3 linked regions of the Canis lupus familiaris genome follow. The protein of the gene in region 2 interacts with the protein of the main gene of each other region in a biochemical or structural test. Links are inferred from orthologs where the notes say so. Each region holds a gene or a part of one and is shown on either strand. Other genes may lie near its edges.

Region 1 (3,747 bases), on a different chromosome or scaffold from region 2:
TTTTATTTCCACTAGTAAAGGTTCTGTTGGGAGAGTGTTGACCTAGATCCAATTAGATTTGGGAAAACTTGACTCATGGGTCAGAACAGAGCACACCTTAATTGGTCACATTCTTTTCTCTGCAGGAAAAGTCTACATAGAGGAAAGAAAAGATAGTGTGTATCAAATGTTATACTAAATTTTTTTAGAGTAGTAAAATTTTTTATTTAAAATTTTAAATTTGACTGTAGTTGACACAATGTGAACATTAGTTTCAGGTGTACAACATAGCAGATTCAACAACTCCATATGTTAGGCTGTGCTTACAAGTGTAGCTCCCATCTGTCACCATATAAGTCCACTACAGTAGCATTGGTTATATTCCCTATACTGTACCTTTTACCCCATGACTTATTCCATGATTAGAAGATTGTGTCTCTCACTCCCCTTCACTGTACCTTTTACCTCATGACTTATTATTCCATGATTAGAAGATTGTGTCTCTCACTCCCCTTCACCTGTTTTGCCCATCCCTTCCACACTCCCATTATACTAATTTTTTAAAAATATCTTTTATGGTTTTTTATTTTTTGAAGGTTTTATGAGAGAGAGAATGGGCAGAGGGAGTGGGAGAAGCAGACTTCCTGCTGAGCAGGGACCCCAATGCCAGACTCAATCCCAGGACCCTGGGATCATGACCTGAACTGAAGGCAGATGTTTAACGAACTGAGCCACCTAGGTGCCCTCTTTTATGATTTATAAACACATTCTTCAAGGGAGATGAAGTAAGCTGTCTAATATCCCCAAAGATTGTCATAAGGTGGCCTAGTGAGCAGGAATCCCAGCTTCTAGCTTTTCTTCTACTTCATTGTTAAAATGATTATTACACCCTAAGTAGGTTTGTTATTAACAGTTTAGGCAGTATGGGAAAGGCAGGGAAAGCTGACTTTAGAGTTGAGTTTATCTCCAGCTCCTGCCCTGGCCGCCTGCTGTTCCCCTGGGGCTGCAGAGGGCCAGTTGTTGACAAGCATCAAAAAACAGGAGCCCAGGCCAGGCTACCGTGGCAGCTCAATGTTTAGGGTCAGTGTGACTCATATGGTGTCTGCACATTGTTTTCATCATCTGTCCTGGTTTCTGATGCATTAACTTTAAGAACTATCATTAACTTAGGATGGAGGATCACTGGGCACATCCATTTGTGGGTGGCCCAATTCTAGCCTGAGTTCTACAAGCACCTGTGACGAAAAGAGTGCAATGTGGTTGGAGCTCAATTTAACTTTTGAGAGCTGAGCTTCGGAGACTGTCAGGTAGGCTCCGGTAACTGAATATTCTAACAGGAATCCGAGGTTTGAGGGCTGAAGCACATCCAGCCTGGTGCGGCAGACAGAGATAACAGCTGGCGCTGCAGACCCAGCTAGTCGCCAGCCCTGGGATATGCACCGGCAGGACCGACAAAAATCCGATCCCGGGACCCGTAGGTGAGGGGCTTGGGCTGCCGCCGGCCCCGCCCCTCCCGCCCCGCCCCCGGCTTCCTCGTGACCCGTGCCCCGCCCCCCTCGGCCGGGAGCACCCCCGGCTGATTGGCCCCTCCGCGGCGTATGCTCCGGCTGGCAGCCAGGCGGGCGCGTCACGTGGCCGAGCAGCGTCCAGGGCGCCGAGCCGCGGGCCGCCAGGCATGGACCGTCAGGCCGCCGGAGCCCGGGCGCTGGGGGCCGCCGAGCCGCCTCGGGGGGCGCCCCCCAGCCCGGGGGTGAGCGCGGCCGCCACCTGCGGCCCGGGGCGGGAAGTTGCGGGGCTCGCGGGCCAGGCCGGGCGGGCCGTGCCGGGCGGGGCGGGGCGGGCGGGGGCCGCGGGGCCAGGGGAGCGCCGTTTGGGCGCGCGCTCGCGCTGGAAACTGCCGGGCCGCGGGCCCGAGAGCGTGGGTGGGCGAGCGCGGCGGGCTGGCGGTGCCGCGGCGCCTCTGCGCGCTTGCTGGATGGGAGGTGATGCTGACCGCCCGGGCCGGGGGCCCTGGGCGGGGCGGGGCGGGGCGGGGGGTGGGGGGGCTGGGCCGCGGCCAGGTGAGGGACCTGTGACCACGGGTGGCTACGCACAGCGCGCCCTGGGCACCGCATGAGGTCTCCTGCGCTCTCCTTTTCTGTTTACTGAAACCAAAGGCCCAGCTTGACGCAGGGTTTCCAAAAACTTGTTTTCATTTGCGCGCCAGACAGCTTCTGGTTTTTCAAAGACCGTTTTTACCGTCCTCACCTGTCTGTCCTTGTTTACGGTCAGTAAGTTCTGGATGGTGAGCTCCGCGAGGGGAGGAACCCTCTGTTGAGTGCTGTAAACCCGGCGCCTGGCGTAGTACCGAGAGACACAGCTCCTAAATCTGAGGGAGGAATGGAATGCTGGTTTAAGCATCAAAGAGGGTACTAAACCGGAGTAAGATATGAAAAATGTAGTGATAGGTATAAAATTACTTTGGAATGCAGATGGGATGAGACTTCAGGACGTACAGGAAGGGATGTACGCTTCTCTCCAAGGGGACAGGGTGGTGGTGCCTGCAGAGGCCTGGAGGTGAGGAGGTACAGGGCAGATGGCTGGGAGCTGGGGTCATAGAGCCTCAGAGCCAGGGGAGAGAACGATGCTCCACAGGTTGATAGGTGGTGATGGGGAAGTGTGAATGCCATGGCCAATGTTATGCTCCTCTGTGGAGGGCTGTTGAAAATTTTTGAGCAGAGTGATGATTAATCCTGTTAAGGTTGGGCAGGGTGGGTGAATGGGAGGACAAGTGGCTATGGCAGTGGTGCACGTGAGGGAGCCTATCAGCTGACCTGCAGTAGTCCGGAGGGTTGTCATTCAACCATTCCCAAGGTGGAATTTATTCATTAAATCTAAGGATGACTAGGTCATGAGCCAACTGAGGCCGGTGCCAAGTGCAGTTTAGGTGTGAGGGCAAAGAAAGGGGGTTTCAGTTCAACTAATGTTACATTCCTGTTATGTCCGTGGTGTTTTCAGAAGTGTTCTCTCCATTGTAAGCTCCTTGCAAGGTCAGAATAGTCCTCTCCAGTGTCCAGAGAAGGAAGCCCAGGCATGGTGGTTGAAGCAAGCTATCCAAGGTCACACTCTGAATGAATGGCAGAGCCTGAATTGAAACCAGGTCTTCTTAGGCAGGCTGTGAACATTTCTTGTTCCTTTTACAAAATGGTCTTTAAGTGATGAGAGCAGAGAAGCATATGGTTGGCTGTAGAAGAAGATTTCCCTTGAGCATTACTTAGGAAGTACAGCTACATGTTGCCCCTATGTATCAGGAGACAGAATTTGGTAGGAAGTTAGAGGGAATGAGGTTGAAATGATTAAAATTTACAGGCTCAGAGGAGAAGAGATTCACAGAGCTGGAATCCCAACTTCTCAGGAAGAGGTGCTGCCTGCAGCTACTGCTGGGGTCTCAGAGCTTGGAGGAGGGGTCCTGAGGGCCTAGGATGGAGACCCCTGAAGAGAGGGCCCAGTGATGAAGTTGGCTCTGCCAATGTTGGCAAACTAAACTGGATCGAGCAGCTGCTATAGGAAGGTACTGCTGATGCTGCCAGGGATGAAGTGTCGCTGGGGTGGTATCTGCAGGAATAGGAAGGAGAGAGGCCCTTCTACCTCCAGCCTTGATGCATCTAATACGGCAAAACAGAAATAGGGATTGCAGAGTCCCAGCCCCACCCTCAGAAAGGTGAGGATGGAAGAGTGGGGTTTGAGGCCATGAAACGGTAGCTTAATACTGGGGGTACCCCACACATC
Region 2 (3,524 bases):
TGTTGGAACCTGACCCCAAAACATGGTTGCCAGTATATCAGGCAATATGGACTTTGCAGTGTCACCATGGAGATGGCATCCTTCAAGAGTTCCCTTTTTAGCTTGTGAATCTTCAGATTGATAATTCTGTCATTCTCATTTGGTTTCCTGGAAGTCAGGATTGGCTTGTGAAAAGTTGTTAGCAATAGCATGCTAAAGGTGAACTATCAAGTCTCATTCGAAACTTTGCCTATTCAGAGCATCACACTGTGTTTTATAGTAGCTCTCTGATTTTAGTAGTCCATTGAAGAAGGGAGTTTGAAAGTTGTTGTATACTGTTTAGGATTATCTGCCCACATCCTGCCTGAAACACTATGATTGCTTTTGAAAAGTATCTTTAATAAAGCTGGATATAGTTAAAAAAGAAAAGAATCAGGAGTTTCATGTATACTTGGCTGCTGGGCAGTTTTCTCTCTGCCTCATTCTGTCTTGCTCTTAGGGAGTAAACAGATCTTGCACAAAAACAGCAAGGAAAGCCTTTTTGCCTAGCAGTAGGTAACTGGTCTTTCTTTTTCCTTGTGTAGCTCTTGAAATTGGGGCTGACCTCCCATCTAATCATGTCATTGATCGTTGGCTTGGGGAGCCCATCAAAGCAGCCATTCTCCCCACCAGCATTTTCCTGACCAATAAGAAGGGATTTCCTGTTCTTTCTAAGATGCACCAGAGGCTGATCTTCCGGCTTCTCAAGGTGGGTGGTAGAAGGGTTCAAAAGGTATTCCAGCTAATCCTCTTGCCTTACTCACATATGTATGATGCTTTTTTTCCTGTGGGCCTGATTCTTTTCCTCTCTGGTTTCTGGAGAGCAATTTTAGCAAAGTTGGAGGTCTTGAGAACAAAAGAGGCAAATGGCAGTAGGTGTCCCAGAAACATTTTAGAAGGAACCAGATCTCATGAGAAGTTTGCAGGTTTCATTTAAGATGTTAAAGTGGGAATCCCTGGGTAGCTTAGCGGTTGAGTGCCTGCCTTCCGCCCAGGGCGTGATCCTGGGGTCCGGGGATCAAGTCCCGCATCGGGCTCCTTGCATGGAGCCTGCTTCTCCCTCTGCCTGTGTCTCTGCCTCTCTCTCTTTGTGTGTTTCATGAATAAATAAATAAAATCTTAAAAAAAAAAAAAAAAAAAGATGTTAAAGTGATGGGATGCCTGAGTGGCTCAGTGATTGAGTGTCTGCCTTCAGCTCAGGATGTGATCCCAGGTCCAGGGATCGAGTCCCACACCAGGCTCCCTGTGAGGAGCCTGCTTCTCCATCTGCCTATGTCTCTGCCTCTCTCACTCTCTCTGTGTCTCTCGTGAATAAATAAATTAAATCTTAAAAAAAAAAAAAAGATGTTATAGTGAGGATCCATGGGCCTGTTTGAGCCAGGATGAAGCTTATACCACATAGGAGGGCTTTATGAGTTTATTGAAGCGTCATGCTATTTTGTTGGTACCTGGAGGGATTTTTGAACTGGAAGACTGCTAGGCCAGGCCTTATTTTATGCTAGGGCTCTTTGGCCATAAACCATAACAATATTCCAGAATCTTGGTTCGAGAACTGCGTCTGATGGTCTGACCTCTCTCACAGTTGGAAGTGCAGTTCATCATCACAGGCACCAACCACCACTCAGAGAAGGAGTTCTGCTCTTATCTCCAGTACCTGGAATACCTGAGCCAGAACCGCCCTCCACCCAATGCCTATGAACTCTTTGCCAAGGGCTATGAAGACTATCTGCAGTCTCCACTCCAGGTCGGTCTACAGTGCAGCGAGAGGGAGCTGTAGGGGAAATGGCTTTGGAAGTAGGTGCCCTACCATCCTATCAAAGCTCAGGAGGCAGTGGGAAAGTTTTTGGTATGCTGGTGCTTTGCCCCTGCCAGAAACTGGCTGGCTAACTTTGCCTTTTTCCTCTTCTTCATCAGCCACTGATGGACAATCTGGAATCTCAGACTTATGAAGTGTTTGAAAAGGACCCTATCAAATATTCTCAATATCAGCAGGTATAATGTGGGTCTAGGTCAAGTACAGGGCCAGGAAGACCTTGGTGAAGGTGGGATTGGAGCCACAAGGTCTTTTCTCCTTCCCTCCCCAGGCCATCTATAAATGTCTGTTAGATCGAGTGCCAGATGAGGAGAAGGATACCAATATCCAGTGAGTGCTCTTCCCAGAGATATGCATGATGACTTCTTTATCTGCCAAGTCAGCTTGACCCTTCCCCTTTCTCTCTTAGGGTGCTAATGGTGCTGGGAGCAGGCCGGGGTCCCCTGGTGAACGCTTCCCTGCGGGCAGCCAAGCAGGCTGACCGGCGGATAAAGCTGTATGCTGTGGAGAAGAATCCAAATGCTGTGGTGACGTGAGTAGCAACCTCCTTGTTGGGAAGTTTATCTACAGTGCCAGTTTTTTTTTTATTAGTGTCCTCACTTGCATCATCTTTATTTTAGGCTAGAGAACTGGCAATTTGAAGAATGGGGAAGCCAGGTGACAGTAGTCTCATCGGACATGCGGGAATGGGTGGCTCCAGAGAAGGCAGACATCATCGTCAGTGAGCTTCTAGGCTCCTTCGCTGACAATGAACTGTCACCTGAGTGCCTGGATGGAGCCCAACACTTCCTAAAAGGTGCCTCCAGGCTGGGATGTACCAGCTTAAGGGGAATGGATTATCAGCTAGGAAGGCTGTGGTGGGTGGGGGTGCGGGTATAGCAGCCTTGGAGGAGGTTGCAAAGTTTAGGGGAAGGTGGGTGGGACTTGGGTCAGTGCCTTTAGCAAATGCAATCATCTTTCTGAACCTCAGCATTCTGTAAAATTTTATATCTGTAAAAATGAGAGGAGTGGACTAGATTAGAGATTCTTAGTCTGAGATCTGTGGACTCCCTATACTGACATGATACATACCTTGGGCTTAGCTTTCATCCAGATCTCTAAGAGTTCTAAGACCCCACAGAAGAACCATTAGTTCAGAATATCTTAGGGTTTTTTCCAGTTTTAATCTTGTGTGTCTCTGTAGGTTAACCTAGAAGTAGAATCTCCCATGACAGGGGTTGGAAGGAGGTTGGCCTGGGAATGTGACAACATTGAGCCACCTGGGTCTGTTTTGGGGGTTGTTTTGTTTTGTTTTGTTTTCAATTTTTATTTTAAGTAGGCTTCATGCCCAACATGGGGCTTGAACGTACGACCCTGAGATCAAGAGTTGTACATTTCACCAGCTTAGTAACTTAGCTAGCCAGGTGCCCCTGCCTGGGTCTATTTGATGTGGGAGCTTTAAACCTTCAGTTAGACATACCATTTTCATCCCTTCGGAACTTATATGATCCTCCTGCTCTGCAGATGATGGTGTGAGCATCCCTGGGGAGTACACCTCCTTTCTGGCTCCCATCTCCTCCTCCAAGTTATACAATGAGGTCAGAGCCTGTCGAGAAAAGGACCGAGACCCTGAGGTAAAAAGCCACTGTCTTCTGCAGAGCTCTTTTCTTTTTAGTCCTCTTTTTTTTTCTTTTTTTTTTTTCCTATATTAGCA
Region 3 (3,747 bases), on a different chromosome or scaffold from region 2:
TTTGTGACCAAATTTTTTTTAAGATGTTATTTATTTAGGGAATCCCTGGGTAGCTCAGCGGTTTAGCGCCTGCCTTCGGCCCAGGGTGTGATCCTGGAGACCCGGGATTGAGTCCCACGTCGGGCTCCCTGCATGGAGCCTGCTTCTCCCTCTGCCTGTGTCTCTGCCCCCCTCTCTCTCTCTGTTTCATAAATAAATAAAATCTTTAAAGAAAAAGATTTTAGGGATCCCTGGGTGGCGCAGCGGTTTGGCGCCTGCCTTTGGCCCAGGGCGCGATCCTGGAGACCCGGGATCGAATCCCACGTCGGGCTCCCGGTGCATGGAGCCTGCTTCTCCCTCTGCCTGTGTCTCTACCTCTGTCTCTATCTCTGTGTGACTATCATAAATAAATAAAAATTAAAAAAAAAAAGATTTCATTTATTTATTCATGAGAGATACACAGAGAGAGGCAGGGACACAGGCAGAGGGAGAAGCAGGCTCCATGCAGGGGAGCCTCATGCAAGACTCCATCCCAGGACCCTGGGATCACGACCTGAGCCAAAGGCAGACACTCAACCACTGAGCCACCCAGGTGCCCCTGTGACTAGAATTTAAAGTAAAAATAATAAGCTAAACTGTGTGATTTTCTTCAGGTACATTCCCGGTGTTGGAGCTGAATTCGCATAATTTTTTGGGCTTTGTCAGAACTACATTTCCTTCGCGAGTGTATTTACTGCCCCGTAACACAGGACTCTGAGCCCGCGGCCCGCGGCCCGGCCTACTAATTGGATCTGAGCTCCCCAAATCCCCGCCCTTACTGGAATTTTCCTCCTGGACCGGCTCTCAAAGCGCTCAGCAGGCGCAAGGCACACCTCCAGCCGCCAGGGGCCGCCGTGAGGTTGGGCGCGGCCGGAAGGGAGTGCGGCTCCGGGGGCCTCGGCGCTTCCGCCTCGCGTTCTCAGCGTTCCTCGCGCCCTTTACGTCCGAGCCCGAGGAGTAGGCGTTTCCGGCCATTCATACTCCTAGTTTTTCGGGCCTTGGTAGTCCGGTTCTGTACATTAACGGGCTGAAAGAGCGACGGCGCCGCCAGGATGAAGCTCGTGAGGTGAGGGGGTAGCCCGGCGGGGTGGGGGCTGTGACGATTTGGGCGGCGAGCGGGAGGCCGCGCTGCCCCTTTGCGGGAGGCGGGAAAGCCGCGTGCGCGCGCGGCCTGCTAACGGCCTCCGGCGCCCGCCGCTCCCGCCCCAGCTTGGCCGCGCCGTCGCGGGCGCTGCCGCCGGGGCTTCAGACTCGTTGGCGCGCGGCCCCCGCGTGTCTTCAGGCTAGTGGACGTGAAGGCCTGGCCATTTCTTCCCCCCTAGTGTCTTAGAGGCCTGCAAGGCGGCGGCGCCAGGCTTACAGGCTTCTGTTTGCGGTTGGTAGAAGACGTTCGTTCCCTTAGAACTCGTACTCTAGTCTAGATGATTTTTCTGGCCGGTCTCAGCCCTCAGGACCCGCAAAGACGACTAAATATACGCTCCCGGAGAACGTGGGAGACCTAAGGAAAATTGTACGCGTTGCATTAAGTTAACGAGCTTTTATTTATTTATTTTTTTTTTAAAGATTTATTTATTTATTCATTAGAGACACACACAGAGAGGCAGAGGGAGAGGCAGGCTCCATGCAGGGAGCCCGACGTGGGACTCGATCCTGGGTCCCGGGATCACGACCTGAGCCAAAGGCAGCTGCCCAGCCGCTGAGCCACCCAGACGTCCCGTTAAGCAGCTTTTAGAATGTACTTAGAAGCTGCAGGGGTTCATCAGGAAATGACGAAACCCATTTCCGAAATGTTTTAAATCAGGATTGGACTTCTGGTTTTTTGGTCTTTCCTTTTCCTTTTCCCTTTCCCTTTTCCCATTTCTTTTCTTTTCTTTTCTTTTCGACTCCTTACAGTTAAGATTACCCAACTCCCATTTCCCTTCAAAATAGGACTTTAGGGATCCCTGGGTGGCTCAGCGGTTTAGCGCCACTTTCGGCCCAGGGAATGATCCTGGAGACCCAGGATCGAGTCCTACGTCGGGCTCCCAGCATGGAGCCTGCTTCTCCCTCTGCCTGTGTCTATGCCTTTCTCTCTCCCTGTGTCTCTCATGAATGAATGAATGAATGAATAAATAAATAAATAAATAAATAAATAAATAAATAAAATCTTTAAAATAAAAAAAAAGAAAACAAAATAGGACTTTAATTCAGGAAGAATCTCCCAACGTCTGGCAGAGTCACTTTACGTATTTGTGGCTGATTAGCAGATGATCACTATTCTCTTGTGTTTAAACTTCATTGGTTAGTTGAGCCTATTGGTTTATGATTTGAGTAATTCATTCTAAACTATCTGCAGATAAGGTTTTGGTGTTTTTCCTTGAGGCAGGGAGCCTGGAACATAGAGGAGATTTCTGATTAAATTAGTTATAAATGTAGCTAGTCTTTTGTCTGAATCAAGATTAGTCTTATTGCGATCAATCAATTATTGGGCACCTATTACACTAGGCACAGGCAGTGGATTTTGTTTTTTTAAGGTGTTCTTTGAACTATTTTGCGAAGACAGACAAATAGACAATTTCTAGTGTGAATGAAATAACGTATAAAACCCTCAATATGTATTCGGAGTTCTTAAGGAAGGCATTTAAGGTTAATTTTTAGTCGAACTGTAACTTTGGAGAAAAACACCCCAGAATTTAAAGTATATTTTCACAATTTCTCAATCCCTACCTATTTGAATCTACTTATAGTTTTGTGTCACACTCTTTAGAATCCGTTTATCTCATTTAAAGAAACTGCATGTTGTGACACAATTTTCCTGAAAATTTTAAAGGCTGTACTGAACCCTATTCTTTGTTTAGACTGTAGAAATAAAATTTCTTCTTACTGGTGAATATGTTTTGTTCCAAGAAAATGAGTATTTGTCTAACTGCTTTGCATTTTTGGTTGACTTATTTCTGTACAGTGGTTGATGGCACTATCATCCTTACTGCCACTCTAACCAAAAACCTGGGAGTTTACTTTGACATCTTTCTTAATAATCTCATAAAATTGCCAGGTTTTCACAGTTTTTACCTACCTCATAGAAGTATCTCTCATTATCCAATTTTCTTTAAAAAAATTTTTTTTGTTTATTTATTCTTGAGAGACAGAGAGAGAGGCAGAGAAACAGGCTTCATGCAGAGAGCCTGATGCCAGACTCGATCCCTGTTCTCCAGGATCACGCCCCAGGCTGAAGGCAGGCACTAAACCGCGGAGCCACCCAGGGATCCCCAACATTATCCAGTTTTCTTTGGTTTTTGAATTCAGTTAGTGTGGATTTGGATCCTGAAGGATACTATGCAAGCGGTATGTTTTTGGGTGCTATGAAGGATATTATCTGGATATTTAAGTTTCAGTAAGAACGAATTCAAAGGGAAGGATTCATCGGAAAGAATTCAAATCTGTTTGATTTCTGAGCTGGGATAACTCTTTTCTGCCAAGATACCTTTGCTGTCATTCATTCCAGTGGCACCACTGAGTCATAAAAGCTTTCTTTTATTTCCACCCAAGGTTTTTAATTTTACTTCTTGAGGTGACTATCTCATGCAATGAAATACAATGTACATTTGCCAGTTTTGAAAAATTTACACATCTGTATAACCCAAACCCCTGTTGAGATGTGGAATATGGAACATTACCGAAACCTCAAGCCCTTCCTAGTCAGTCTCTGTTCTCATACCCCCAGTGCAATCAATTTCTTCTATCGTAGTT

Evidence for each region.
Region 1: the proteins of PRMT5 (region 2) and COPRS form a complex in vitro, tested with the Homo sapiens proteins (3 studies listed by BioGRID, with this or other methods). The link is inferred for Canis lupus familiaris from reciprocal best matches to the Homo sapiens genes PRMT5 and COPRS.
Region 3: the proteins of PRMT5 (region 2) and SNRPD1 form a complex in vitro, tested with the Homo sapiens proteins (2 studies listed by BioGRID, with this or other methods). The link is inferred for Canis lupus familiaris from reciprocal best matches to the Homo sapiens genes PRMT5 and SNRPD1.

Annotation. Positions count from the first base shown.
Region 1 is NC_049230.1:41,069,285-41,073,031, forward strand, and holds the start of COPRS (coordinator of PRMT5 and differentiation stimulator), read left to right. Parts: upstream 1-1,551; 5' UTR 1,552-1,654; coding exon 1,655-1,729; intron 1,730-3,747. UniProt on the Homo sapiens protein: Histone-binding protein required for histone H4 methyltransferase activity of PRMT5.
Region 2 is NC_049229.1:3,374,012-3,377,535, reverse strand, and holds part of PRMT5 (protein arginine N-methyltransferase 5), read left to right. Parts: intron 1-563; coding exon 564-727; intron 728-1,600; coding exon 1,601-1,762; intron 1,763-1,932; coding exon 1,933-2,010; intron 2,011-2,102; coding exon 2,103-2,161; intron 2,162-2,240; coding exon 2,241-2,363; intron 2,364-2,451; coding exon 2,452-2,627; intron 2,628-3,334; coding exon 3,335-3,444; intron 3,445-3,524. UniProt on the Homo sapiens protein: Arginine methyltransferase that can both catalyze the formation of omega-N monomethylarginine (MMA) and symmetrical dimethylarginine (sDMA), with a preference for the formation of MMA.
Region 3 is NC_049228.1:66,473,033-66,476,779, reverse strand, and holds the start of SNRPD1 (small nuclear ribonucleoprotein Sm D1), read left to right. Parts: upstream 1-953; 5' UTR 954-1,070; coding exon 1,071-1,084; intron 1,085-3,747. UniProt on the Homo sapiens protein: Plays a role in pre-mRNA splicing as a core component of the spliceosomal U1, U2, U4 and U5 small nuclear ribonucleoproteins (snRNPs), the building blocks of the spliceosome.